Linked DNA regions of Pelodiscus sinensis. The protein of the gene in region 3 interacts with the protein of the main gene of each other region in a pairwise test. Links are inferred from orthologs where the notes say so. Each region holds a gene or a part of one and is shown on either strand. Other genes may lie near its edges.

Region 1 (7,699 bases), on a different chromosome or scaffold from region 3:
AGTTCAGAATCCCTCGGTGTATAAGAAATTTAACTAGTGTAGCCAAAGGTGCACTATTGAAATTGAATTTAATATATCGTATGACCCAGTCCCAAAGGTACTTAAATTTCATAGCCTGACATAGGTATTAATATTCAGACAATTTAATGACATCAGCAAATGCCACCATCTCTTTGTCCATTTCCTGCACCCAATCACTAATAAATATATTAACACCAATACTTACCCCTGTGGGTATTAGTCTCCCAAAAGTAGGAGACTACTCAGTTTTTAAATCCACCTACTCAGTTTTTAAATCCACCATAAATAATAATTTCTTAACCATAATTTCCCATAGTCTTACAAAAGGAATTTTAAAAAAACACCCCACAGAATAAGATTTATTTACTATTTTATTAATCTTCTTAAAGAACTGTATACAGGTTTGACAGCTTTTGCAGTGGAGAATTAAAGAGTCAGATTGGTTTGACCCTCAATATTTATTCAAGTGCAATATCACATTACCCACAATTAGTTTCTCATTCAGCTCCCCTGGGTTGAGGATATATTTCCCCTTCCATAACTCCGAGGATCTCATCTAGCTCTTTTGTTTGATTATTTTAATAAAATTAATTGTATCATATTACATGAATATCTCCATTATTTAATGCTTTCTTTCCTTCAGACATCTTGGATCTAGTTTTAGTTATTTACTTCAATGAGTTGCTTAAAAATGTCCTATATCTTTTTCCTTGGTGTGTGTCCACACTGCAGCTCAGAGCATGTTTTCCAATGCAGATAAACACCCGCTAGCTCTGCTCAAACCACTGAGCTAAAAATAGCAGTGGTCATAGGGGCAAAGGCAGTAGCTCAGGCTAGCCATACAAGTACATACCAAGAGGGTTGAGCAGGTTCATAAGCAGATGGCCAAGCCTCCACCTGTTCTACCATGCTATTTTTAGCACAGTACCTCCAGCAAAGTCCCCTCTACCTGCAGTGTAAAGAAAGCTCCCAATTGTGATGTAGACATACGCTTTCAGGTTAATCACAGCCCTGATCTAGACTGGGACATTTTGTAATAATAATAATAAAAAAAACCTGTCAAGACCATGCACACTGAGCTCTCAGATTTTCCATCGTAATTCTAGATGTTCTTTCACAGTGACTAGGAACAGTTCATATTCTATATTTTTAGTTCAAGATGTAGTACAGTAGTTCAAAACAAAACAGGTGTCATTAACAACACTTCAAGTCAGACTTTTTTCTCTCTCTGTCCATGCCACAGTAACGATAAATCAACATGCTGCATTAGATCTGTTGATATTGAGACATACAAATTGATGTAAAACAGACATATACAAAGCACACTTTTTCCCATTATTAGATCACTACTCTAAATTCAAAATTGTAAAATGATAAAAAAATCCCCAGAAAAACTTGGGTTTCATCCCCTTCCTCCAAAAGCCAGAAGGCTGGCTTACAATCATAAATCTATTTTAGTCAAGTTACCAGGACAAATTACACTTTTGTTGATAGCATTGGCAAAAAAGCCAAGGACTGACTGGCCATGGAGAATATACTGCCGTCTCACCCCTACAGATGGTCCCCTCCAAGTCAGTCAAGGCACATTGGCTGGACACTGTGGGAGATTTGGACTATTGTTTGTAACATGCTTGTACGGAAAATAGAAGAGTTCAGGTGGCATCTTTCATTTTTTTCAATTGAAGGGGGGAGAAGGGAAAGAATTAGCTGGCAAGAAGCAAACTAAACTGTTTTCGTATTGGATTATAAGGGTTTACTTTTTAAAAATTTGGCAGAGAAAAGCAAAACAGAACAGATTTTCAATTCTACTAATGAGTTTATACTGCAGATCCAGCTGCTTTGGCTCCCCTTGTTATTAATGAATTTAAAGGTGGGATGTACTGAACTTTGAAGCTTCTTTCAAATCAAGTGTGGGTATACACAAGTGTATTAGCCAGTCTGCTCCCTATTTAAATCCCCTGCTCAACAAAAGTACTTGGTGTTGTTTGAGGTCATGACACAGAGTTAAGCAAGCAATGTCTTTAAAACCAATATCCCAGAGATAAATGTATGAACTAAAGTAGGAAACGCAAGCATAAGCCTGAAAAACCAGACCTCCCAAATTTCAACACTTTAAAGGGTGATGCCATATAATTTTCAACTACTTTTTATTCAACTTTTATACTCCAGTTTCTGAACCACCATTTCCTTTCTTCCTCTTCCCTCAAAAAATCAGGATTGTCTAAAGCAGCAACATAGAACTGGTCCATCACAAGCAACAACTTCAAAAACATTCACAATTATTTTCAAATGATAAACACAAATTGTCATCCAAAATGCCAATTAGTACCTCACTGGGATCCCTAGAGCCAGGACTCCAGCCCAACCCAAATATTATCTACACTGCAATTTTATAACCCTGCTGCCTGAGCACCCTTTTCCCTAAATCTGAATTAGCTAACAATCCTACCACTGTGTTTTATTGCAATATAAACACATTTTAGGACTCTGTGGCCCTCAAGCCACTAAACATAAATGTCCTCAAGACATATATATCCTCAACTTTAAGTCTGTGAGTTTTTTTATTGAGTTCAATGGAGTTTCTGATATGCACATCCCTTTGCTAGATTGGGACCTGAGACTCCAATCCTTCAACAATGCTTTTATATAGGCACAAGGATCTGGGGTGGGGAGTTGCAAACAATTTGGAGGGAGATTTTAAATGTCACATTGAAGCCTTCCATAAAAATTTGCCATTATTAGAGAAAAGGTTTTTAAAAGCAGACTCCAAATTAATCCATCTTTAAAGTTTCCATCCAAACAAATCAGTGGCAGTTCTGGAAGGTCATGCAATCATATTTTTAAAAAAAGTCACGGAGGAAGATGCTAAAGAGAGAATGTATGAGATCTTCAACATCAATTAGACAAGACAGACCTCAGTAGGACTGAGAAAATGTGTAGACAACAGGTTCAGGCAAAGAGTTTTAACAGGTTGAAGATGAATCCCCTAAAATCCTTCACAAGCCCTTGAAACTATGAGGCTAGATCACAGAAAGTGTTGTCTTATTCCATATCTCTGTAACTCCACAATGCAAAAGATACACAAAACAAATAACCACCTTTTCAAAAAAACTGTTGTGGTGTGTGTTTCAATTCATCATTTAAAAATCTCACTCATTCAGATTATCACAACAAGAAGTCCTTGTCTTAGGCCAACCACTAGAAATGTCCTTCGCAAGCAACAGAACACCAACTTTATAAACCTGACATGAAGAAAAGCTTTTCTCTCACACCAACATGGTCCAGTAAAAATATTACATTGCCCACTTTCTCAACTTTATAAACACAGACCTGACTGTAGGTTCCTCCACTGCCAATTATACCCATCAGTTTTTAAAAGTATTATTTCTGCATCATCCAACTATGTGGTGTGCTAGTCTTTTTGCTAAGCAGGAAATACCTTGTATCTTCCGTGTATGATGAATGATTGACATTTGGGATTACAATTAGAGATGCAAGAATTAATTTTAAAATGTGGAAACATCCCTCAAAGTATCATAGTTTATGACAGTTCTGAAACAACTTGTCCCCTTTTTCCTCATTATGCAGGTCTCCATCCTGCAAATCCAATTATGACAGGCCTTCTTCCTTTAGGGTTAGTTCTCTCCCTTCTATACCCTCAGCTGTCTGCTGTATGGTTTAGGAAGATATTTAAAATAAAAACAACCTATCGTTTTATAAAGACATGTATGTGGAGCCACCAACCTCTTTCCCTTCTTACATTAAGGGTTTTACTGGGTCATTTTAAAAACAATCAAATCACAACTGTTGGGTAGGATGAGGGGGTCCCAAAAATTTAGCTTAAAGCCCCAAATTTACCCCATTAGAGTCTCCACTCTACCAGCAGCATTTTGAAAATTCAGAGCCATCATTTGGGGAAGGGGGTAACCCAAAGCCCTCTCTGATCTTTCACCTAGCATAAAATGAGGCTCACAGGTCTCTTTCTTTGACCCTCATGTGGGAGAAGGTGTGGGGAGGAAGACGGGAGGGGGGGGGGGGAGGGAATGCACACAGGAGCACAAGTCAAAACAAAAAAGTAAAAACAGTTACTCACAATCATCTAAGTCATCCTGCAAATCCACAAAATACAAAGGGATCCCTACAAACAAAAACAAGAGAGAGAGAGAGACACGGGGGGTTGGTTTCACACGGCTCGCTGGAGAGCGGCGAGACAGAGCACGACAGAGCCACGCACGAGCGGACAGGGCGCTTTGGCCTCGGCCCCCCGCGCACCCCAACACACACGCACACCCCCACACGGAGCAGGACGGAGAGGAGCGAGAGCCGCTTACCAGCCATCTTGGAATGGACATGGGAACCCGGGGAGGGGGGCAGAGGGCGGAGCCGTCTGCGCTGCCTGACCCCGGCTGAACCCTTACCCCCCACACTCCCAATGTAATACAAAATGCTGCCCGGGGGGGGGGGGACAGCTGCCCCCCTAGGCGCTCAGCTGCCCTCGGGGGACCTAGAAAAATTACAGCCTTGCAAAAAGTGTGCCCCTGAAGGAAGGGGGGGTGGTCAGGTGACTCCAATGGGCTGCCCAAGATGGCGTCTGGTGTGTGGCGCCTGAGAAGAGGCGGCTACCTGTAAGCTGTGCCTGGAGGGGAGTTGGCCGGCCGTCTTTGTCTCCTCTGGAGAGCTCGCTGCCCGGGAGGCCTCCTCGGCGGGTGTGCTCAGGGTGGGGCTATGGTGGTGCTGAGCTGCGCCTCTGGTTCTCTTTAAGGCAACAGCCTCCCTGGCCATGGCTCTGAGGGAGCTGAAAGTTTGCTTGCTGGGGGTAAGTGACCTTCCTGGGTGTACCTGGGCTGAAAGGGAAGGGGTGTCTGCTGGAGAGTCCTCCCTCCCCCCGGTGGTCTTGATGAACAGGAGGCAAGGACGGGGAGGGGGGATTTCTCTGCCTGCCTGCCTGCCTGCTGGAGGGATTTGGTCGTGAGAGCCCTTACAGGCGAGGGGAGGGCTCTAAAGGTGTTCTCCCGTGGAGGGAGGTTATTTTTGATCTTTTCCAGTGTGTTGATTTCGGTAGCATCTGTCCCTGAGACGCCAGAGCAGCTAGCAAAGCCTTTCTGGCTAGGAAGAATGTTCGTTGTCTGTGTTTGAGACACGCTGAAACACAGCCCTTTTTTTTTTTCCAAGGCGCTTCTATTAAAAATGATCCTGTGTTGAAATTGCTCTGCTCCCATACACTTCTTACGCTGCCTAAGGCTTTGATCATGTGGGTAATATTTAGCTCTGGCACTTATGTAGCTGGATATCAGACCCGTAGTGCCATTTTTCAGGCATCAAAATCGCTCCCCAAACACTAGATAATGGATGAAGACTTAAAAACAAACGTGGGTCTGACTTTATAGCTTGTGTAGAAACCAAATCCAGCTGAAGTCAATTGAAGCTTTTCCTGGATTCACTGTACTTGAACGGAATTTGACAGGTCAAACCATGTGTTTCCTGGTTCTAAATAATCATGTATCTTCTCCCTGGAAAATGTGTATATAGTCTTTTTATATCTGGTATTGGGGGTCAGGGTGTAGTTTGCATTATTGCTTACTAAATAGGTTATCCTTTGTTTACATCAAACTTTACCTGTGAAATCTTTGTGGAGTGGGAGAAGCAGGAGGAAGAGACACTTCCCCTTCTAAACACCTCATCTCGGAAACTTATTTACTTGCATTCCCCCTTTCTCTTCTTTGTAACTTGTATTGTTGCCTGTTAAATACACTATTTTTGTCACATATTTTAGTATTTTTTTAATTCCCTTCTCCTCTCCCAAAAAGAGAACCCTCAAGAGGATCAGTACAAACTTATCTCTTTTTCTGAAGAAGTGGGTTGTACCCATGAAAGCTTATCTATATGTTTTATTAGTCTTTAAGGTGCTGCTAGACTATTTGTCGTTTTTCCAGTTACAGACTAACTCGGCTACCCTTCTGAACCTTTACATTTTGTACTAATTAATACTGTAATCCCGACTGCAAACACTGCAAAAATGTTTAAATGAAAGCAAGCTTGTTATAGTCAAAGCAAAATGCAGGACGATGTAGCACTTTAAAGACTAACAAGATGGTTTATTAGATGATGAGCTTTCGTGGGCCAGACCCACTTCCTCAGATCAAACCTATGTTTGTTATAGTCAAACATTTCTCAACATTAGGTTTGGTAAACTATCTATCTTTCTCAAAAGGTTAAATTTGGGGGTGTACATTACTTGATTCTGTAAGCTGAAGATTTTAAAGTAGTTCAGCTATGTTAACTACATTGCCATCTGAAATGTGTTTAAAAGGCATGTGAGCAATCAGACATCTTAACTTAGTGCTGCAAGAAGATGCAACTTGAAGCATGCCTTTTGTTTCTTTAAAGCTTGAGCTGTCCCAGTTATTACTCAATGCACACACAACCTGGTATTCAATTTCTGAGGGTGCTTGGAACTATTTTAAACCTTGGTTTGTCACCTTTTGAAGTAGTTTTCCTCCTCCTTTGCTCCATCTGCAGCTGTGAGATAAAAAATATATTCGTTTCAGGTATGTCACAGAAGATGTTTAAGGTCTTTCATTAAATAGGGTGAGACTCAATGACTCAGAGGCTGAAATATTTCTAATGCTTGCAATAGTGTGACACCCTTGCTCTGCCTGTATGTATTAATTACTTTATTCAGCTACACATGTACACTTTAACAGTTGAAGCAGCAGCTCTTTTTCCCCTGGACAAACATCCCTAATTCTGTTTCAAGAGACAGACATTATAACTTTTTGTTATCTTATACAAAATTATGAAAGTATCGGTTTTGGAAGACTGTATCTTTTACAGAGCTACCTCCTATTTTCAACATAATTATTTTGTGGCCCTTTATATTTTTCAATTTTTCTGCACTGAAATATTTGTTGTTATTAAGACCCTGATCCTAAAAGAAGTTCCACTTATCTGGACCCCTGTTGACTTTAGTGATGTTCTTTAAGGGAACTGGGCTCATTCTTTCCATAAGGAACTTGTTGCAGGATTGCTGTCTATACATGCCCAAGTGTTTATTGTGGCCAAATTCTCTCTGGTGTAACCGCTTCTTTCTTTTTTTTTTTTTTTTTTTTTTTTTTTTTCCAGGACACTGGTGTAGGCAAATCAAGTATTGTGTGGCGATTTGTAGAAGACAGCTTTGACCCTAACATCAACCCGACCATAGGGTAAGACGTATACAATTTATTTGAATTATAACAAAGCTAGAGGAACAATATCCTTTAATCTCTAAGGCTATGTCTACACTCGCGGCTTCTTGGGTGAGTAATATGCAAATGAGGCTAAGCGTGGAATATTGCAGAGCCTCATTTGCATACCTAATGAGCCACCATTTTTTTTCAGAAGAGGCTCTTGCTCAAGAAGGAGCATCTACACTGCCCCTTCTTGTGCAAGGAAAACCCTCTTGCGCAATGCCGTTCTTCCTGAAAACTAATAGGTGTAACGGCATTGCGCAAGAGGATTTTTCTTGTGCAAGAAGGGGCAGTGTACACGCTCCTTCTTGCACAAGAGCCTGTTCTGAAAAAAAAAGTGGCTCATTAGGTATGCAAATGAAGCTTGGCGATATTCCACGCTTAGCCTCATTTGCATATTACTCGCGCAAGAAGCCGCGAGTGTAAACATACTTTATACAGAGTAAGAGAAG
Region 2 (7,957 bases), about 82 Mb from region 3:
ATTCCTCTGAGAGCCTGTTAAAATGCTGGTGGAATAGTACCAATCCTGTGAATCTGGGACAAATAATACTCTCATAAGGGTATTATGAAGACAAAATCAATAAAGATTGTGAGGTACTCAGTACAATCTAAAACTTTTATTTGGTGGCAAAATAAATGCATTTGATCAGTATTCCCTATGATTCTTCTTACCTTCCTAACCATACACACAGACTATAATGGTTAGGCAATCTAAGTGAGTTTGAAATCCTTAGACTCAGACGACTGAAGGTGAAATCCTGGCAAGATTGTCTTGGTCCTGTTTGTGACATACAAAATGTTAATATGAGAGAGACCTTAAAAACTAAGGTCCTGCTAGCTCTCATACCCATGAGATCCCAAGTAATGTAAGGAATGACTGTTGTGTGCTGAATGTGCACTTAGCTGCTATCCTCCCCCTCTAGATATGATTCTGATTCTGGAGTGTATTTATTTTTCTAACAGACAAAGCAAAGATTTCTAATAGCAATAAGATTGACTGGATTATAGGCACGCAATGGTTAATATGCTCTTGTTGTTTGTCAGTAAACAATTGAATTGTTATTGGTTTAGTCTGGCAACTACTAAGTCCCCTTGGGGAAATTCAGCAACAGATCTTATAGATGTGTAGAAGAGAGTACAGAACATGCTGCCCTGGTTTAGTTCCATGTCATCTGTTCATTCCTCACAAAAATGAACAAGCAAGCTGGAGATCAGTGCTGTTGCTAGAATCAATATTCTGAAGTTAACCTGAGTTCTCCAGAATGACCCCAGGACTTGGCAGCACTATTCCTGCTGGCCAGATCAAGGATTGGAAGCCCCCTTTTATTTTTTTTCCCCTGGTAAACAATCTGGACTGCCCATGGGCCTATGGTTGTATACTAGGACAAAAATATTTTTGGGGTGTTGAAAGAGAGCTCAGTGGCAACCAAAGTGTAGGAAGACAGAGTCAGGAAGAAGTAGAAGAACCCAGGAAGGGGACAAAACAAGGAGGGATAGAAGAAAAAATAACTGGACAGAAAACAAATCTGTGGTGACTGGAGAATATGGAAGGAGGAGGAAACAAACAGGTGTGCAGAAGAGTACCTTCCTTAAACTAATAATTGCAAATAATATTAATATGAAATGTCTAGTGTCTTTTCCATACAGTAAATTATCTCAGAAGAGCTAAGCCCTTCATGGGGCCTGCCTGGATGCTGATATTGCCCCCTTGTCCCAAGCAGCAACCTTGTCCTATAAGGATATGCTAAAAATTCATAAGATTGAGATAAGAGATAATAGAGCTGATAAAAAAATTGGTATCGGCAGGGGGAGGGAGAAACCCCAGGGAGCCCCCTATTGCATAGGAGAGCTGAGCAAAGATGGCAGGTGCCCTGCCTCTCTCCCCTAAGTTGCTCCGTCCCTGCTTCTGCCTCCTGGAACTCTGTCGCTCCTCCCTTCTTCACCTGGCCCAGGCCCTGCTGACCAGGAGGGTCTAAACAATAGAAGGGCATAAGGCAATAGCCTTATTAGCCTAATGGTTAATTTGACCGTTAGCTGTTAGACCTAGTCCATCCTGCTGCCAATACAAGTTTGTTTTTTAATGTAAATTTGATAATACATTCAGCTAGTATACATGTTCCAAGTGTTGAGGCTTCTACCACTTCCCTTAGAGCCACAGATCACAAACACATCTACGGATGTGGCTACCCACAGACATAAAGTAGATGGCCGCAGATTTGCAGGGCTCTATGGATAAGGACTCTCTGGTTTAATTGGTTCTAAGAAGAGTGAGATTTCAGTCAGTTCTGAGTGACAATTTAAATATCTTATTGTGACATGCATTACAGTAGCCTTCCTTGTTTTTTTAACCAGCTTTCAGATTAATTCAAAATAGCAAGAGCTGGGAGTTCTATAACATCAGTCTCAGGAATTAGATACATGGCCCATGAGACTATCCCAGTGGTTACCATTTTTCGAGAAAAGGCTCTGTTATTTATCTGCACTCCACATACACATACTTCAGCAAGAATTGATGACTGAGAAGTTTGCTTTCTACAGTACTGCACAATTCAATAGGTACATTTGTATATTACAACCCTCATTCTTTCCATCGAAACTTTTGTTTTAAATAGGAAACGCTTATCTGAAGTCAGGGAAGACTTGTTCTAGCATAAAAAATAGTAAAGAAAAAGAGGATATTTTAGGATCTGTTTTACTAATACTGCTTTAGGTCTGCAGGTATCTGCATCTGTGGATGTGGATGCAGCCTGCAGATGCAAATTTTGTATCTGGAGTCCTGCAAATTTGAGACTATCTGCTTTATATCCACTGGAATCCACATCCACTTCTGTAGATGTGGATATCTGCGACTCATTTTTGTGGATACAGAGGTGGATGCAGGGCTCTACTTATCAGGCAGTTAAATGATCCTGTGACAAATCCAGAAGACACTGATCCTTATCTTCTTATTTTGACCATCTACCAATCTTGGTGACTGGGCATAAGCATTGGTGCAAACAAGTAACAGGAGCTTTGAAGCAAATGTATCTTTTATAGGCTTGCTAATTTTGTAGGGATATATTGCTGGAGATTTCATAATATGACCATCTTTAATTAAAGATTAATCTTTCATTTCTGGGGACAAGGGAAGGAGCTAGATTTTGAAGCTATTTAGGTTCCTGTCTGTATCTTTAGATGCATACATACCTTTAAAAACCTGGTCCAAAGCTTACAGCTTCAACAAGAAAATAAAGCATGTTGCAGACTCTAGAAATGAGGGAACCTGTGACTATTTTTATTTTCTGAAACAGCCAAGCCACCAGTCAATCATTCAAAAGAGTGAAATCAGTCTTATGTTCAAAAGCTTCAGAGGGGTAGGTGAGTTAGTCTGAATCAGGAAAAGCTTAAAAAAAAAAAACAGACTAGTACCGTGGTCACCAACCAGTAGATTGTGAGCTACCGGTAGATCTCAGGGGCTCTAAGAGTAGCTCTTGAGCCCTCTCTGAACTGTGCGCCTGCACAGTACATTTACATTAGATTTCCTCATTTGAGGAGCAGCTACTCACTGAGCAACAACACAGGTGAGTAGCTGCGAGGAATGGTGGGAGCTGGGAGGTCAGGAGGGCTGAAACACACCAGCCAGCTGACTGTGGCTTTCACAGCTGGAGCTAGGCGCAGCCTCCCTGGGCTGAGCTCAGGGCAGCCGGGCTGGAGGGAAGAGAAGCAGCTGCCCGGCCAGCTGGCCATGGCGCTCAGCCAGGGTGCACCACGCTCCACGTGGGCTGGCGCAGAGGAGAAGCTGCCTGGCTTGCTGGCTGTGGCGTTCAGCCCAGAGGAGGCTGAACCGTGCTCCAGCTGATTGGGCGGCTTCCCCTCTGTGCCTGCCCACGTGGAGCTTGGTGGCACCCTGGCTGAGCACCATGGCCAGCTGGCCGGGCAGCCGCTTTTCTTTACTCCAGTCTGGCTGCCCTGCGGTCAGTCCGGAGAGAGCGTGGGTCAGAGGCTTCCCTCCGTGGCTGGTGTAAGGAACTCCTTGCCCCCAACCTTGTTCTCTCTCCTCTGCCCCAAACTTGTCCCCCGCCCTCCTGGCCCCCTGTTCCCTCTCCCTTATCCCCCTGACCCTGCTGCAGAAACCTGCCCCCCCTGCAGAAACTTGTCCCCCGGCACCCTGCCCCCCCCTGCAGAAACCAGTTCCTTCTGGCACCCTGTCCCCTGCTGCAGAACCCACTAGCACCTCTCCCCAGTACTGTGTCCCCTGCTCCCAAATGACTTTTCTATGGGTCAGTGACCCCTGACTCAAGGCAGGTTCCCTGCCATTCTCATAAATAAAGACAATGCAGAAACTTTTTGTGTTTAACATAGTATTTTATTTAAAAATGAAATCTGGCCAACAAACCCCCAATTGGGGCCAAGCCCCCATCTGGCCACAACCACTCCTGCACTCCCCTTTCCCCAGACCCTAGATCTGAGCCTATCAAACACTGGAACCTCATGCCCTCAGCCCCTCACATACCCCAACCCAAATTCCTGCATCCTCACATCCGCAAGCCTGTGGCTTGCTTAGTATCCCAACACTGCCCAGCCTGGAGCCCCCTCCCCGAGCCAGTGTCCCCTTCTCCGCCACCTCCTGCATCCATATTTCCTCCCAGAGTTTGCACCTCTCACCCCTTCCCACACCCAAATCCCTCATTCCCATCCTAGAGACTACACATCCTGTCTCAACACAGCAAGGATCCAGCTAGACTGCAGGAGTTTTTCCGGATTCTGGAGATATCCCGGAAAAACTCTTCTGCATCCAGGGCTGTGTTTGTTCTTCCGCTTTTTTAATGGAAGAGCAAACAGGCTCTTTTGGTCACCCCTATTTTCCTCTTTCCACAAGGAATAAGGTGGCTTCCAAAAGAAGGGTTTTTTTTCTGACATTTGGTCCAGTGTAGACAGGCCAAATGTTGGAAAAATCTCTTCCTACAGAATAATAAATAAATAAATAAATAAGCAGCAGTATAAGGATTGGGGATAGCAAGTGATGGAGAGGAGGAGAATAGAGAGGGTGGGGCTTCAAGGAAAGGGCGGGGCGGTAGATCTTGGCTTGGTCTGTCATTTAAAAAGTGATCTTTGGTGTAAAAAGGTTGGAGACCACTGGACTAGTAGCACCTTAAAAACTAACAAAATGTAGATATCATCATGAGCTTTCATGGGCACAACCCACTTCTTCAGATGACCGGAGTATTAAGTGGGTTACACCCACGAAAGCACATGATCCCATCTACCTGTTTTGTTAGTCTTTAAGATGCTACTAATCTATGGGTTGTTTTTTAAGTTTTTCCCATCAATCTTACGATCATTCCCTCTCTCGGGTAGCTAGCTGCTGGTCCTCCACCTTGCCAGAGGGAGGAGCACAGAGCGAGTAGCCCCAGGCACGCGCTGTCACCTGGCTGCAAGGGGAAGAAAACGCAGCGTTTTGAGTTCAACAAGTCCAGCACTTCCTCTGGGCCGCGGGCAGGCCCAGGCTGCTCGAGGGGGTGGTTTGCCATGGGGGGAGGCAGGTGCTGGGGCTCCGGTGGGCCGATCCAGAAGGGAAGCAGCCAGGATCCCTTTCTCCCCAAGCCGGCTGAGCGCGGATCCGGAGCGCAGCGCCAGCCCGCCCGGAAAGACGCGGCCCTACCAGCTGCAGGTAAGGCTGCCGGTGGGGTCCCTGCAAGGAGGCGGGGGGGGGGTCCCCCACCTCGCAAGGGAAAATGCTGGCGCGGGCACAGCGGGGGGCGACTCTTCCGCGGCCTCCCAGCGGACCGGCTGCCTGCAGATTCAGCGGGGTGGGGAGACGGGCACGCTCCGCCCGGGGCGCCCCCGAGAGAAAGGGGGAGCGCGGGGTGCCCGCACCGGCCGCTCGCTGCTGGGGGCTGTTGAGTTTGCTCTCACCGCAGCGTAGCGCCTCGCGCGGGACAAGCACCCCCCCCCCCCGGCGCGTAGGATGCTGAGGGGGGCTCGCGCCGAAGGGTGGGTGCGCGTGGGAGCCGCGCGGCTGCTCTGTGGGTAGGAGGGGCGCGAGCTGGGGGAGGAGGGGCTCCCTGCCCACGTGACAGGGCCCCCAGCCCAGGCCGCGGGCGGGGAAAGGGGGTAGCCTCGGGGGCAGTGTGCTTACCCGGGAAAGGGGCGGGGCCTGCCCGGCGTGGGCGGGGCCTGCAGCCGGCGGCCCGGGTGCCACAGGCTTGGAATGCGCTCGGCCCCCTGCAAGATGGCGGGCTGGCGAGGAGGTGAGGGGTCGGGGATGCTCCCTCACGGGACCGAGGCGGGCGGGGGGCCGCTCCCCCCCTCGGGCGCCTCAGGGACAGGGGCTGTGCGGTGCCCGTCCACGGCAGGGCCCCGGGGTCTGCGGGGAGAAGGGGGCTCTGCGGTGCCGGGTCCAGCATGGGGGGGGGGGAGGCGGCGTGCAGTGTGGGGGAGGGGGAGAGGGACAATGTGCCGTGCCTGGAGGGGGGGGGGGCACTGTCCCATGCCTGCGGGAGGCTTTTGGCGGGAGAGGTTGCTAGGCGAGTCTGGAATTTAAGAAAGAGTCCCCCAGCCTGGGAAGCCTCCAATGCCTCTCCTCCCCCTTTCCTTTTCAGTGGCGATGGGCTCATTGCAGCTTTGGTTGGGACACAAGTGACCAATCCGCTACTAACGCAGAGGAAGAAATTCAGCTACTGTCAAATACACCCTGACTCTTACTAAAGCAGGAAAAAAAAAATATAACCCTGTTGTTTTGGGCTCCAGACTTTTGACTTGCTATTAACTTTGGACGGTCGCTCCTAACAGAGTTCTGAACTGTTGTAATCATTGTTCCGTAGTTGGCATCCTTTCCTCTTTAGAACAGTTACATTGTCGATTGTAACCTTCCTAAATTTGGCCCAGTTGACAAGAAAGCAGAGATCTTTCTGGAAGAGGGATTTGCCTCGTGTCTCATCCCAGTCACCATGGTTGCATAGCAAGTACAAGAGTGTTGATTCCACTTGACTAACTGCAGCTAGTTGGCTCCCATGTAAAAGAGTGAAGGGCTTCTACATAATTGCAGTCAGAAGCATGAACTTTTGCTAGGGTGCCTTAAGGTCAGGAAAATTATTTCTGTTTTGTTTACTGAGATTCTTTTTGTATGAATAATTAGTAGGTTGTAGGTAGATTTTTTTATTATATGAGTGTACATAGTATATGCAGAGCTCAAGTTCAGGCAGAGAACTGTTATAGACTTCATTCTATATTAAAACGGAGTATCATTGATTCTATCTGCGACTGCTACGCTAGTAATTTTACAAATATATTGTGGACAATTCTTACACATTACAATTGGGGGGCTCGGAAACAGACTAAAAATCAAGTATTTAATTTTTTTTCAACTCAGCTGAAACATTAAATTAGTAAAGAATCCTATTTTCTTATTGTAGTGTGGTATGTGCCTTGTCTAGCTTCACTTGAGACCATCCAGGAATTATGTAGGAAGGAAAATCTCACATGTAAATCCCTTGGAATCACCAACAGGAATCTAAAGAGTTATGAGGTGGAATATTTATGTGACTACAAGGTAGACGAGGTAAGATAAATGTCTAGTTTTACAGAACAATTTGATCAGTATTTCAGTTGGAAATTTGGAAGTAAGAGGTGGTAGTTTTCCTCAAAGTCTAAAGTGCTAGGCTAGCATAGGGCTTTTGTTAAGTTACTGCTGACATTGAATAAAATACTTTGGAATGTTGAAGCCTAAATAAAGTATTCTTTGGCTCTGACTGTAAGAAAGGGAAGGTTCTGCGTATAGTAAAGCACAAAATGTCTGACCCCAGTGCCAAAGCAAAGTTTACTGTGCTTAAATAATAGCTCGGTGTGCATTGATGCTTCTCTTCCCCTTGTTTGCGGTTAAAAGGACACTTCTTCCTCTATAGTACTGCAGTCTGTTCGTTGAATAGCTACGGCCACATGTTGCAATTGGATCCATGACCAGATCCCCATTAGGTGCCATGTGTATGCAGAAGCTGATCAGTGTGTGTGCCTGGTTTAAAGATTTGTCCTTATTGCTCAATTCCCTTGGGGAAAAAAAACCCCTCCTTTCAAAATAATTACATTTTACAATACATAGTCTTTGTAGTAAATATAGCATTAAGAAGTGTTTTTGATTGTATTATTCCTCTAGGCTGACTCAAATAACGATTACAAATAATACTATTAGAGGTTTTTTGGTCAAACTTTAGATTTTCTTTTTGTTCTGTGTAGGGTGTTATTTTATACTGTTTCCATCAGTGGCAATGCTAACAAACTGATCCATGCTAATATTATTTACGTGTTCTGAGTCATTATACAGCCTATAGTTATCCATGTCCTTACAAATGGTGCACAAAGTACATACGTTGCATTTGAAAGGCTTGATTCTCTATTGTTAGCTAAATTCACAGCTGCATGGTCATATGTGGTTTTATTTCTCCATCATAAAGAGGGTGATA
Region 3 (6,932 bases):
TTTGTTCAACACCTCCTAAACAGTAAAAATTTGGTATGCAACTTCCTCTTATCATAACTTAAAGCCAGGATTTGGTTGTGCCAGGACAATGGGCGTGTGTGGAATGTGATCGTTTCCCATCAAATGGAAAGAGATTGGCTGCTACCTCGCTCAAGGCTAACCCTGGGGAGAGGCCACTGTCCAGGTTGTGCTCCCACCCCCCCGTCCCGGGCTGACCTGGAGAGAAGCCACCAGATACTCTGGGTTGGCCCCCCTCTTGCCACCCCAGGGAGAAGCCAGTGGCCGCCCCTGCCCTGAGACCCCCTTGTACTCTCCCATACCTCCTAAGCCTCTTTCCTGACTCCTGCATCCCTACTGCCTCCATGAGCCTCCACACACTCCCTGTTCTGAGCCCCTCCTTATCCCCAACTCTGAGTGCTGTACCCCCCAGACCTCTGCCCCAAGCCCCTCCTCACATCCTGACTCCTGCACCTCCACATGCACACCCAGCCTTCTGCCCTGAGCCCCCCACATCTCCAAGCCCCTGCCGTCACTCCTGCACCTCCCACATCTCCAAACCTCTGCCATGAGTCCATCCATAAGGACTCGAGCAATGCCAGGTCACTTTGTTAGTTAAGTAATAAATCTTCAGTAAACGCGAAAAATTTATACAAATTGAAAATAAATCTAGTGTAGTTCAGTAAATTGTAGGGTGCCCCTGGATGAAAAGGAAGGAGAGTGTGATTCCTCCCAGGACTGATTTCCTTCCTCCTGCTGGTTCAGAACCAGTCAATTTAGAGGTGGCAGAATGGCATTGCAGAGTTTCAGTAGGTTCACCCTCCCAAGACTACTGCTTCTCCTTGCTATGGATCTAGGATTTGACTTCTCCTAATTCTGGCTCACCCCTGTTCTTCTTTCTTCCCTCCCTCAGTGTCACTCTCTTTCTTCATCTTGCCTCCACACATGTACATCCTCTTCCTACAAATGCCCCTCTTCCCATCCCTTGGCAAAGCCCCTCTCTGACTGCTGTTTCCCAGACCTTTCCCTTTTTTCCCCTGTGCCTGTAGCATCTCCGTTTTCCCCAATGTTCTGCTTCCCACTCTTTTTGCCTGCTTTGTTCCTCCCCATACAACTCTCAGGGCCCCTTCCTTCATGTCCATCTCTCCCCCTGACCATAAATACAGGTCATCTGCCAGCCTCTCCTCTGTGTGGAGCATTCCCCGGGTCCATGGTTCACTTTTCCAATAGAGATACAGCACTGACTGCCCCAGCATAGTTTGGTCTAGGGCATTGTAGACAGAAAGGGCTCTCATCTAATACAAGGAAATTCTTGGAGATGGAAGTGGAAGAGGGCACTAACAGTCTGGATTTAGTGATATGAATCCATTCGCAAATTTGTCCCTAAAACCGAGGAACATCCCTGATTTCAGGGATTGCCCTGGTGTCCTTCTCAGTTGTATAAAGTTCAGTATTTTGTCCCAGTATTATCGCAGTCTCTCACAAGTCTAGTCAGTAGAGCTAGGGCAATGGTTCTTGTCCAGGGGTAGGTGTACTTCTGCGGATACACAGAAGTCTTTCACAGGTACATCAACAAATCTAGGTATTCACCTAATTTTACAACAGGCTAAATAAAAAATTCTAGCAAAGTCAGTACAACCTAAAATTTCATACAATGACTTGTTTATACTGCTCTAAGTACTATACACTGAAATGTGAGTACAATATTTATATTCCAATTAATTTAGGTTATAATTATATGGTAACGCGAAAGTGAGCAATTTTTTGTGCTAGCCTTCTGCGACACTTTTGAATGTTTATGTCTTATTTTGTAAGCAAGTAGTTTTAAATGAGGTGAAAGTTGTAAGACAAATCCAACTCCTGAAAGGAGCACAGCAGTCTGGAAAGGTTGAGAATCACTGAGCTAGGGAATGTGACAGCAGGCTGGCAAACTGCACATACACCTCGAGCACCTGCACAGGTAAGACACATCAAAGGCTGACGCTTTGCCCTCCCCACATGGAATGCGAAAGGGAGTGGACAGTTTGACAGACAAGAGAGGGCACCCTTGTCTCAATCCTCCTTGGTGCCAACCTCTCCCAGACTGTCTATGAAACTCTCCCCTTCTCTCCTGCCCCACTGTGACAAGTGACCTATTTTCTCCACTTTGAGACTCTGCTCTGCCTATTCCTGGGGCGGCTACTTCCCCAGCCCACAGCAAAAGGATACTCTTCACCTAAGCCAATGAAAACCACTTAACTCATCCCTACCGTGCCTCAGTTTCCCAAAGTGTAAAACGGTGGCATACTCGCCCACCTCTCTCATGCGCCCTGATGGGCAGATGAAACCCGCTGCAGAAGCTCAAGGTACCACCGCACTAACCTACGTGTTACTGGGCAGTGACGAGAAGCTGAGCAAGGGTATCACCAGCTTGGATTGTGCCCCTGGGGAGGCTGGAGGTTTAACCCTTCCCACCCCTCTTGTGTCGCGGAGCCCTGCTAAATCCCGCGTTGCCTCCCCTCAGCTGGAAATGCAGGTGCGTCACGGGGATGAGCCCTGCGAAGCACGAGGGGGGCTGCTAGGGTATCCCCGCGGCGCGAGTGAAAACCTTGCTGGGCACGGGCCCGGGAACCGGGGCGCAGCACCGGGGACTCCCCGGAGCCGCCGGAAGCCGGGCACGGTACCTGCGGGCTGTCTTGCAAAGCCTCTTCCAGCAGGAGCTTGTCCACAGCGGGCATGTTGGAAAACCCCCGCCCCGCCGCCGCTGCTGCTGCAGGACGGCCTGGCCCGTGCGGCTGGGCTGCTGCGGAGCGCTGGGGCTTGTGCGCCCTCGCCGCGCGCGGAGGAGGCAGGGAGGGAGGCTGCCGTGCGCTGGAGCCAGGTAAACACCGCAGCAGCGCCGCCCAGTTCCTCGGGCCGAAAGGAAGCGAGTCACGAGGAAGAGCGACAGCCGGGCAGAGCCCCTCGCAGGAAGTGTGGCTGCTGCTGGTTTCCTGCCCGCCTGCCTTAACTCTTTGCAGAGCGGCGCGGCGCTTGCGAAACTCTCTCCCAGCCTCCCCAAGCCCGGCGGGAGGGAGACTCGAGCGAGTGGCCAAGAGGAGGGACCCCACCCGGGGCAATGATTCACAGGACGCTTAAAAAGCTGGGGTGTGTCTTACATGACGTTGCTTCTTTCGTCTGCCCTCTCCGCCTCCGGCGGGAAGCATTTGCGACAAGAAACGTGAGGGGATGCAAAGCGGAGCGAAATGCGGGCACATGCTGAGTTCTTCATCCCAGACAAACCAGAACACATTTTTGAACCTGGAGTATTTGAAAATGTACGTGGGTTGTCTACATTCCACATTTGAACGTTCCATAAACCGTGGAGGTGGACAAGGCTAAAGGTGCTGAACAGTTGTATTTCTCATTGGGCCAAGCTGTTTCCAGATCAGTAACTGAGGCATTCAGAATCAGCAGCCTCTTTAAAAAGGCCTCTTCGTCACTACATGCATCTGACGAAGTGGGTCTTTGCCCACGAAAGCTTATGCTCCTACACTGCAGTTAGTCTATAAGGTGCCACAGGACTCCTCGCCGCTTTCTGTAAAAAGAATGGCCTTAGAGTTAGAGTCTAGGGGAACTATATACATTGATCAAACAGAAAACATCAAGGAAGGTAAAAATTGCATCTAAAATGATATGGCTCTATCCCCACAGAGAAGTTTCCACCCTCTTCATGTAGTTATGGTGTAACTCACTTTTTTAAAGTACATCCAGGGTGGAAATTTCAAAACTGCTTAGATTTGGCCTAACTTTACTCATGTCAATCTTAATGTCCACTTGTTGCATCTAAATCCCTTTTAATTTTTCTGCTTTGTTTTTTCTTAAAACATTGTAGGCACCTTAAAATGCAAACAAGATAACTGCTAAAATATAAGCAGGTGCCATATGGAAAATTTTGTAAATCGGCTGAAAAATGGTTAACGTTAACCGAGTTTGACAGAGAGTCATCAGGAACAGTACTTCTGGCTGAGTTATATCCCCTTGGAATTTATGTTGATCTGATGTTAAATGGTATTGCTTCTGAAGCTTGTGATATGGTTCTTTAAACCAGTGTTTCTGAAAGTGTACCATGACCACGGAGCCTTGCGGCTCCCATTGGCTCCGTTTCGTCCTTTGCAGCCAACGGGAGCCGCGGGAAGTGGTGTAGGCTGGGCCACCACTTCCCGCGGCTCCTCTTGGGTGCAAAGAATGAAACAGCCAATGAGACCTGCACGACTCCATGGCCATGGCGTCAGTTCATAAACAAACCGGGGCAGCCAGTTAAAGTGTTTCTGAAAATGTTTCTGCGGTACACTTTCAGAAACATTGCTTTAAACCAATGTGCCAAATCTGCCTTGGCATGCCTTTGTTCTGCCAGCACTGAAGTTGGACTCTCTGTTCCAGTTCTTTAATTAAAATCAACAAACTGGATTGTCTTGTTGGCTTCACTTTGCCTGCCTCAGGAAAGAGTCCTGCACAGCAAAGATAGTCAACTAGTCTTTCACAAATATCGAGTATAAGAGGCTGAGTCAACACATTCCCATCAGGAGAAAGCAAAAAGAACAGGGGTTTAAATATTAATTGTGTTACAGAGATCATACAGATGGTGTAGTAACTTGTGAACAAAACTTCTTTGCAGAAGACAGAAATATTAAATAAGGTGTTAATTGGATATTAAGCTTAGGAATCCATGAGCACTTCTGAATCTGTCATGCTATCCTGTGATAGAGTCTGTCTCCATTTATCTTGGAGTCTTGGCTTTTTTTCTTTTTCTTACAACCTTTTTAAAAGGTCATTTGAAACCCAAACTCCATGGTATGACAGAGGAGCCAGACCTCTTAAATTAGGTTCAGGATATTTGTGGATGATTTCTTAACTGTGTCTTGCAGGCCACTTTCTTCCTCCAGTAATTGCCCACTTCTTTTTCCTCATGATTTTGCATATGGTGGAGTGATTAAACAACAAAGTATTCTGAAATACTTTCCACAGCAAACTAACACCTGTGGTTTTGCATCCCATCTGCTATGCAATCAAGAGCACAACCTTTGAGGGCTCACCTGTTTTTCTTGGTGGCTTTGTTTAGTTAATGATTCAAGTTTGGAAACCTATAATCATATTTTCAGCACGGCACCACACCTGGTTGGTCTGACTGGTTTTGCTAGTTCTATGCAAAGAGGACCCAAAGTATTTAGGATGTGCATAACTGTGGGTAGCAAAGTTCATCCAACTTAATGAATGGAGTAGCTTCACCTTAAGCTGTAGTAAAGGTTAAAGTAAATATTTTCACGTAAAAAATAAAAACTGCAAAATAATAGCAAAAGTAGAACCTTTTTCGTCAGAAAGACCTAAATTGTTGAGACTAGTGATTTTGGTGTCTTAATATTTGCGTGCTCAACTCAAGTCACTTTAAAGTCTTCTGTCTTTCTGAGGATGCTCAGTGCTTTTGAAAATCAAAACCCCTCAATATTTAAGCTGCAGAGCTCTGACCGTGGTTGACATAAACTTAAAAGCACCATAAAGGAAAGTTACACAATCATTCAAAGCTGCTGTAGCAGTCGCAAACTCGCTGTGAATTATATTTAAGTGTCTCAAGTTGAGCCCCCAAAATTGAGACATCCAAATTCACCTGTCTGCCCCAAAGAGCTTAAATTGGCCTATTGGATCACACCAGTGGTTCATCTATTCCAATATCCTGTTTCTGAAGAGGCCACTACCAAATATTTCAGAGGAGAATGTAAGTGTCTAAATAATAACAAGTTAGGAGGGAATGGTGTATGCACAGAGGAATTTAGACAGTTAGCTTAGTCCCTAAAGCATGAGAGTTTGTCACTCTTAATATTTTCTTTTATGAAATGGGTGGAGTTTCTTTTGCCCACATAAACGTCTAATGCTTTTTTAAATTCTGTTAAACACTTTCAATCAATGGCATACTGTTGCGATGAGTTCCATAGTTAACAATGTTTAAAACATAGAATTCCTTGTATTATTTTTTATTTTGCTTCCTTTCAATTTAATTGAATGTTATCTTGTTTTTATATAATGAGACGGGGTAAGCGGAGTGCTTATTAACCTTCTCATTGTTTTGTGTACTTCTTACATGCAAGAACAACAAGAAGTCCTGTGGCACGTTATAGACTAACAGATTTATTGGAGCATAAGCTTTCATAGGTAAAGACCCACTTCATCAGATGCATGTAGTGGAAATTCCAGAGGCAGATATAAATATACAGGCATAAGAAAAGAGTTCCAATCAAGAGTAAGGTTAGAGATAACGAGGTCAATTCAGTCAGGGAGGATGAGGCCCACTTCTAGCAGCTGATGTGGAGATGTGAATACCAAGAGAGGAGAAACTGCTTTTGTAGTTGGCTAGTTGGCTAGCCATTCATAGTCTTTGTTGAATCCTAAATTGATAGTATCAAATTTGCAGATGAATTGTAGCTTTGCAGTTTCTCTTTGAAGTCTGTTTTAAAAAATTTTTGTTGCAGGATGGCTACTTTTAAATCTGCTACTGTGTGTCCAGGGAGATTGAAGTGTTCTCCTACAGGTTTTTGTGTATTGCTGTTCCTGATATCTGACTTGTGTCCGTTTATTCTTTTATGTAGGGACTGTCCAGCCACACCATCACAGGACCTAACCACATCAGCCACACCATTACAGACTCATTCACCTGCACATCTACCAATGTAATATATGCAATCATGTGCCAGCAATGCCCCTTTGCCATATACACTGGCCAAACTGGACAGTCCCTACGTAAAACTATAAAACTCATAAATTGAAGTTGAAGGGTTTTTTCTCGAAATGACCCCACGGGGACCATGTTTGTTTTCTCGAAAGACGCTATTTCAGAAAAGCGGCGGTCTGCGATTATGCAAATGAAGCACGGGAAATTCAAATCCGTGCTTCATTTGCAATTTCACTCAGCTGCATTTGCATTC
Region 4 (7,289 bases), on a different chromosome or scaffold from region 3:
TAATTGTACTCCATTCTAGGCATTCTGAGCTGGTGCGAGCCAAAACAGAGATGGCTGCCTGCCCACCCAGCTCCTAATACACTTTAGATGTAGAACCATGGCAGGGGTAGGTCCTGGACCCATCACAAACCAGGACAGAGACAGGCTGCTGGCCAGTCTTTTTTTTTTTTTTTTTTAAAAGCAAACACTTACTGACAGGCAGGGAAATGCATGTAGTGGACAGCATTAGCCAATAAGCAAAAGCTTACAGGTTAATCAACTATGCTATTACATCCCTACTCCATTCAGCTTTGAATTTGTTACAGTTTAGCATATTTATGAGGTCTACATTTGATCCCACTGTCATGCAATTTAACTGCAGTATTACCTCTAAATGTGTTAAGTCCACCTTCAACTTGATACATATTCAATTTGTAAACACCAGCTCTGACCATTCCCCCCCCCTTTCTGAAATGAGAGACTGAAGTTGGGGTCTTAAGTCCACTAGAAGCTAGATACTTGAAACTCTTAAAATAGACACAAATATTGGATCCCTTTGGCAACTAACTTTGGGCTCCTGTTTCCTAAATCCCTGGGCAGTTTATTTCCACAAGATATTTTCTAAGAAATCCAAGCTCTTAAAAAAAAAAGCAGAAGTGCTCTAACCTTTGCTACAAGTCATAGAAGTTAGGAGAAATCAATTACTTTGTCTATACAAAACAGTACAATGGCACTTAAATAACCAGAACAGTTACAGCTGGCTATTGTGGCAGTCATTCAGAAAGCCTGACACAGCATGGTATTCCCCTACATATAAAGAAACTATTAACTAGTAACTCAGGCAGCCCTTATGAGTCAAACCTGAAGAGCCATATCCCCGTACTCCAACTGGGAAATTAAGTGAGCAGCTTCTAAGTATGCTGCTTTTAAAATCAGGAAGTAAACTAATTATAATAAGTAGTAAATATTATTGCTCTGATGTCCATAAGGATCATACATTTTGGTTGGATAGCACCTGCATTCTGTGCCTCTGAAAAATCTTGTACACTTCCACAGTAAGTGCACTACCATACAGGCCCTATCAAGAAGCGAGTGAGAAGGTTAGTTTTATAGAAGCATGCATATGACCTAAGTGAAATCTCTGTATGGGAAATTTGCACTTTTATTCAAGAGTCTAACCAGAGGAATCTATTTTAAGACACCATCTTTTCTTCAGTTAAACCCTTTATTCCTTGCACTTCCATTGTTTCACATTAGGCAACAAGCCCCCAGTCTTTGGAGCCAAATACCATGCCCATGTCAGAAGATAAGACACCCTCCTCCAAGGCTCACATTACAAGCTTATGTCCAAGTTGGGATTGGAAGTTGAAGTCTCCCCACCTCACACACCAGTGCTCAGCTCAGTCCAGACTAGGTGACTTCTCAAAGACCTAGTTTTGACAATTCTCTGCCTTAAACTTTCTGCTCAATAACACTAACTACCATAAAGCCATAATATTATGGTCAACTTGTACACCTACATTTGACAACAGAAAGCCTAACCCTTGGAAACACTATGCCACAGCCATTAGACCTGTCCAGTGCCCAGAAAGCTAGGGTGATTATGGCAACAAAAGCCACCATTACCCAGTCAACCAATCCAGTTATCCAGATCCTAATTGTGGGCAAGAGAGAGAGGTCTGTTTGCTGGGTCAAAGTGAATCATGAATTGTCATACATTTACCAAGTGACAATACAAGCCAGGGGAAGGGGAAGTTACTAGGAAATTGACTGTTCATAACCAGGGAAGCAATAGAATTAATGACCAGGGGCAGGGGGGGGGGGGGGGGGGGGAAAGATGAGTTTGCTTCTCTTTTCTACTCATGTAATAAGTGAGTTACCAGCAAATGCCATTCTTGGTATGCTTTATGTGCACGCATGGGGGGGGGGGGAAATGTGGGCAAGATTACAGAGTCTCATCCAAGACAGGACAATAGATTAATCCCACTTCTCACCAGCCACCTAAACTGGTCTCAGGTGTTCAGGGAAACAGGGAAGGTTACCCCTGTAAACAGCCCAGGATCTCAGCTGCTTCCAGGCCCATTTACACACACATGCCAAGTAACAAGGAACCCAGCCAAGTTACCAAGGGAATAACTACTCCATACCAACATTCCCTCTAATCCAGTCCATCCAGGTGTAGATTTTTTCCCCAACCACATACAGAATAAGTTTTGCGCACACTGAGATATGTGCAAAGGTGCACTACCAATAGAACACAGACAAAAATACTAGCTGCAGTAGCTCTGCTAGTCAGCTGGCTGGCCAGCACTTGACTCTGAGCAGCTACGCAAGTGCCCAGCATACAGGCAACACTGCCCAGTACTGTGTGGCCAGGGCTGATCTCTGCTGACCCCTGAAGAGTGGCTGGGCAAAGCTCCCTTAAAAAGACCCCCCCCCCCCCCGAACACAACCTTACGTATAGAGCAAAGAATAAAGAGGGGGAGCATGTGAGACAAGGACAGAGTCCCCCCAGCCCAGTGCCTCCTTGCCAGATCACCCCCTGGTCCCAGGAAGCAAGGCACCCCCCACCTCAGGGCCCCCCCCACCCACAAGGCACCCACCACAGGGCCCCCCCACCTCAGGGCCCCCCCCACCCACAAGGCACCCACCACAGGGCCCCCCCACCTCAGGGCCCCCCCCACCCACAAGGCACCCACCTCAGGGCGCCCCCCACCCACAGGGCCTCTCTGCCCCCCGGCTCCAAGGGGCAGGACACCCCCCTGAGCGGCCCCTCCCCGCCCGACTGCGCCCCCGCCCCGGCTCCAGGGAGCAGGACACGCAGCACCGAGCCCCCGCCCCAGGACGCCCCGCTCCGAACCGGCCCCACTCACCGCGCCGGGGTCGCCTCTCTCCCCCGCCCCAGCTGGCTCTCAGGCTGCGGCCTCCACTTCCGCCTTTCAGCTGCTCCGTTTCCGGGTCCGCCCACCCCTTCCGCTCCGGTCGGGCGGGGTCAGAGGCAGCGGCGTCCGCCAATCACCGAAGCCCTGCCCACTCCTCCCTCCCCGCCCCTCCCAGCCCGGCCCTTCTCCGCGCTGCCGGAAGTGGGGCGTAGCGCGGCGGGGCGGTCCACGTGACGCACTCGCGGGGGCCGATGGGAGTTGTAGGCCTCGAGGTGGGAGGGTGCCGCCTGGGGCGGTGGGCGCAGCTTGGTGCGCAGGGAAGAAACAGGGGGAGGAGCCTGGAAGGGGGCGGAGCTTGAAGTGGGTGGGGGAAGCGGAGGGAGAAGCCTGGGCGGTGGTAAGGGGAGGGGGAGGAGCCTGGGGCAGAGGGAGGAGCCTGGAACGGGGATGGGCAGGGGGAGGAGCCTGGGGGCGTGGGTGGAGCCTGGGGCGGGGGCTCGGTGCTCCCTGGAGGAGGAGCCAGGGACAGAGGGAGGAGCCTGTAGTGGGGGGGGCGAGGGGGGATGAGAACGGAGGGGGTGGAGCCTGGGGCAGAGGGAGGAGCCTGGGGCGGGGGAATGAGAACGGAGGGGGTGGAGCCTGGGGCAGAGGGAGGAGCCTGGGGGGGGGGGAATGAGAATGGAGGGGGTGGAGCCTGCGGGTGGGGTTGAGCCTGGGGCAGAGGGAGGAGCCTGGGGCGAGGTGGGGGGAGGGAGGAGGAGCCAGGGACAGAGGGAGGAGCCTGTAGCGGGGGGGGGGGGGCGAGGGGGGGATGAGAACGGAGGGGGTGGAGCCTGGGGCAGAGGGAGGAGCCTGGGGCGAGGTGGGGGGAGGGAGGAGGAGCCAGGGACAGAGGGAGGAGCCTGTAGCGGGGGGGGAGCGAGGGGGGGGATGAGAACGGAGGGGGTGGAGCCTGGGGCAGAGGGAGGAGCCTGGGGCGAGGTGGGGGGAGGGAGAGCAGGAGGAAGACTCTGTTGCCTGGGTGGGGGGCCAGCAGGACTTCCCCCTGGTGGCAGCAGGGAGCTCCCTGGGATAGCTGGGATCATCTGTGCCACCCCAGAGCTGGGTGTGATAGGGAGGGGTGCTGGGCCACCCAAGCCTGCTGGGGGGGGAGGGGGGGGCGCTTGGCCTGGAGGAGACAGAGGTGGAGGCATTGGCCCACGGGTCTGCTTTGGGACGCAGCCTGCCCTGCTGCACACGGTCAGTCCCGTGCCCACGGCTGGAGCTGGCCCTGAGGACAGCTGGACTGGTATAGTGGTTTTAGGCTGTTCTGCTGCCCCCATCCCCTCTTACCCAGGAGGCTGCAAACTGCCCAAGTCCAGCCACCAACATGACTAGTGTTGCCAGGTGTCCGGTATTGTACCGGACAGTCCGGTATTTGCTCGCTCTGTCCGGTAAAACAAATCAGACAATACTGGACACGTGCAATGTCCGGTATTGTCTGATTTTTCCGGCTGCGCACCAGACAGAAGCCTGGCAAGGGCGGGGGGAGCGGCTGGGCGTCCTAGTTGGGAAGCGGGGCCACCATTGCCGCCGAGAGCCCTCCGTTGGTTGAGTGGGGGAAGCCTCCTCCTTGCTCGTGCGTTGCCGGGAGCCTGCGCGGGACAGGCAGCGCCCCAGGATCTGCAAGTGCCCGGGTCAGTCCCGCTCCCGCCGGCCGATTTGCTCACCCCTCCCCTACCCGGCCGGCCGGTCCTCCCCCACTTCCCCTCCTGATCTTCCCCGGCCAGCCCCCCTGCACCGCCCCCCAGCTCTGCTTCCCACTGGCCTGTTCTTCTTCCTGCGCCGCTGCACCCCCGCCCCCGCCAACTCTGCTTCCCTCCCAGCCAGCCCCACGGCTCCCGACCCCTCCCCAGCTGTGCTTCCCACCTCCCTTCCTCCTGCCCCCCCTTCCTCCCGGCCAGCCTCGCAGCTCCCGCCCCCCCCTTCCTCCCGGTCAGTTCCCCTCCCCTGATATTCCGCGGCCAGCTCCGTACCGCCCAACCTCCCCCCCCACGACCAGCCCTGCTTCCCGTTGGCCCCCCCATCTTTCCCCAGCCAGCCCCGTTGCCCCCCCCCCGTTAGCTGTTTCCAGGCCCCCCCACCCTTCCCAGTCAGTACCGCTCCCCGCCTGGCCAGTCCTTCTCCCTCCCCTCCTCCTATGAAGCGTGTCCAGTTTTTTTGTTAATGACTACCTGGTAACCCCTAGCAGTGCCCCATCCCTGTGATCACCACAGAGATTTAAACTGAGAAGCAACTTGCCTCCCTCCTCAAGCCCCCCCTGGCTCCCAACACCCCAGCTCCCTGACCCCAGCCCCAGGTTCTGCAAGGCTGCTGGCACAAAATGGCCTTGGAGTCTTTTTTTTTTTTCTCAACCTCTTTGGCTCCCCCCCCCCTTTTTTTTTCCTTCAACAGAATTTTTTCTCAGTGTTTTTTTTTTTTTTGGCAGGGGGCGGCTTGTTCTGTATTTTTGTTTCAACCATCTGACAACCGTAGACCTGACCCATGCCAGCTACACAATTCAGCCTCGGCGCGCTGACAGGGCCCCTCCACAAACCCAGGCCGTGGCTCAGGGCTTAGGAGAGGGTTCTGCCTCCAACATCCCAGCGGGGCTGTAGCTCCCAGAGGCTGGCACTAGCAGGAGAGGGCTGTGCTGGGCAGCAGAAGATCCTGGGTTCAGGCCTGCCTCTGACACATACGCAACCACCCAGAGCTGGCTGCATTTCAGCGGCGGGTGTGCAGAGCAGCCAATGAGCATTGGAAAGAAAGGGGCTGAAGACGTGAACATCACCGTGGTGCAGTGGAGGGGAATTCCCCCGAGTAGGGGTGTCCTCACGGACAGCAGCCCCTGGCGTTTCTGCAGCAGTGCCTGATGGGCGGGAGAGCAGAGCGTAGTCCTGTGCCATGCCCTGGAGACGAGGGCTCTGGGGTTCAAAGGGCAGAAGTGGCAGCTGTAGCTACCCAGGGCCTGGCAGGTTGCCAGGACAGGGGCCTGGTAAGAGGAAATTTGGCAGGCAGAGCTATGGGCTGGCTCCGCCCTACTTGGCTGTAGGATCTTTACGGGTGTTCAGGCTGGGTCCTAGTCTGTTACATCGGGAGCTGCTGTGACTCAGCCCAATGCCGGCCCTGCTGCAGCTTGGAAAGCACATGGAGCAATGGGGACTGTGGGCTGGGTCGGAGGATGGGATCAGCGACCTGCCCTTGGTGTGGCCCAGCAGCCTGCAGTCACACGGCAGCCCCAGCTTAGGAGAGCAGGTGATGCAACCCACCCCGAGGGCTCGTTAGGGGAGGGAGCCGAGAGGCCGCCCTGTGTTGCCAGCAGCGATGTTTGTTGCTCGCAGAGACCTGGGAGCTCTGGCCCAAGGGAGATTTTTCACGGGCTAGCCTGTGTGGCTGGGGCAGAGCAGGGAGAGAAACCTCCCCCCCTCACAGGGTCCAAGCTGCCAGAGTCAAGGGGCGCAGTCAGTGAGCCGGGCTGGGTAAGCCCCCAGGAGCATGTAGAGAGCTGCAGAGCACAGGGCGGACAAGGCCACAGGAGGCGCTGCCTGTCAGCATAAACCCCACTGCCCCCCATGCCGGGCTGGAGAGCAGGCTGGGCCACTGAGCCAGTGGGGCAGGGGAAACGCACACTCCCCTCTAGGCCAGAAAACTGGGTTGGCCAATCTATCCATGGCTGAGCCCCAGCAGCCTAGGACAGGTGGGGACTGGTGCCCGTGAGTCAGGCTGGCTTGCCAGGAAAAGGCGCCACCAGTTAATTGCCCTGTTCCAGGGAGGGTAGCTGGCTGGCACAGCACCTCTGACAACACGGCTACGTCTAGACTGGCATGATTTTCCGCAAATGCTTTTAGCGGAAAAGTTTTTCCGTTAAAAGCATTTGCGGAAAAGAGCATCTAGATTGGCACGGGTGCTTTTGCGCAAAAGCACTTTAGACGCAGTTTTGTGCAAGAAAGCCCCGATCGCCATTTTCGCCATCGGGGCTTTTATCCGCACAACAATACCGCGTTGTCTACACTGGCCCTCTTGCGCAAAAGCATTTACACACGAGGGCTTTTGCCCGAACGGGAGCAGCGTAGTATTTCCGCACGAACACTGACAATCTTACAGTGTCTTACAGCAAGTGGCTGTGATGGCAAGTGGGTGGGGGAAGGGGCAAGGCCTGAACTGGTCCCCAGGATCCCAGAAAGCAGCAGCAAAGGGATCTGAGCAGATGGAGCCCCAGGTAGGGGGGGGCCTTTCAGCAAGGTGCTTTGGGGTGCCAGGTATTTTGGGAATCAGACTGAGTTGTCCCCCCCCCGTCTCTCCAACCCCTCCTATGCCAGCCATTGACCGTACCACGTACCAAGCAGCAGGGGCACAACATTGCCCCTCCCCAAAAGCAGCAGGAGGCAGTGGCTGTAAAAATAGAGCTTT

The links.
Region 1: the proteins of APPL2 (region 3) and RAB22A interact in binary tests that used the Homo sapiens proteins (3 or more experiments, as listed by UniProt). The two-hybrid records come from large-scale screens. The link is inferred for Pelodiscus sinensis from reciprocal best matches to the Homo sapiens genes APPL2 and RAB22A.
Region 2: the proteins of APPL2 (region 3) and SUV39H2 interact in binary tests that used the Homo sapiens proteins (3 or more experiments, as listed by UniProt). The link is inferred for Pelodiscus sinensis from reciprocal best matches to the Homo sapiens genes APPL2 and SUV39H2.
Region 4: the proteins of APPL2 (region 3) and RAB5C interact in binary tests that used the Homo sapiens proteins (3 or more experiments, as listed by UniProt). The two-hybrid records come from large-scale screens. The link is inferred for Pelodiscus sinensis from reciprocal best matches to the Homo sapiens genes APPL2 and RAB5C.

The regions. Positions count from the first base shown.
Region 1 is NC_134728.1:13,254,031-13,261,729, reverse strand, and holds the start of RAB22A (ras-related protein Rab-22A), read left to right. Parts: upstream 1-4,698; 5' UTR 4,699-4,801; coding exon 4,802-4,837; intron 4,838-7,143; coding exon 7,144-7,223; intron 7,224-7,699. Other genes in the region: serine/threonine-protein phosphatase 4 regulatory subunit 1, read right to left, coding at 4,115-4,159, 4,353-4,359. UniProt on the Homo sapiens protein: Plays a role in endocytosis and intracellular protein transport. Mediates trafficking of TF from early endosomes to recycling endosomes. Required for NGF-mediated endocytosis of NTRK1, and subsequent neurite outgrowth.
Region 2 is NC_134711.1:15,051,525-15,059,481, forward strand, and holds the start of SUV39H2 (histone-lysine N-methyltransferase SUV39H2), read left to right. Parts: upstream 1-4,955; 5' UTR 4,956-5,027; coding exon 5,028-5,169; intron 5,170-5,625; exon of another isoform or gene 5,626-5,709; coding exon of another isoform or gene 5,710-5,749; intron 5,750-6,913; coding exon 6,914-7,059; intron 7,060-7,957. UniProt on the Homo sapiens protein: Histone methyltransferase that specifically trimethylates 'Lys-9' of histone H3 using monomethylated H3 'Lys-9' as substrate.
Region 3 is NC_134711.1:97,457,364-97,464,295, reverse strand, and holds the start of APPL2 (DCC-interacting protein 13-beta), read right to left. Parts: upstream 3,013-6,932; 5' UTR 2,715-3,012; coding exon 2,661-2,714; intron 1-2,660. UniProt on the Homo sapiens protein: Multifunctional adapter protein that binds to various membrane receptors, nuclear factors and signaling proteins to regulate many processes, such as cell proliferation, immune response, endosomal trafficking and cell metabolism.
Region 4 is NC_134739.1:9,305,203-9,312,491, reverse strand, and holds the start of RAB5C (ras-related protein Rab-5C), read right to left. Parts: upstream 3,011-7,289; 5' UTR 2,853-3,010; intron 1-2,852. UniProt on the Homo sapiens protein: The small GTPases Rab are key regulators of intracellular membrane trafficking, from the formation of transport vesicles to their fusion with membranes.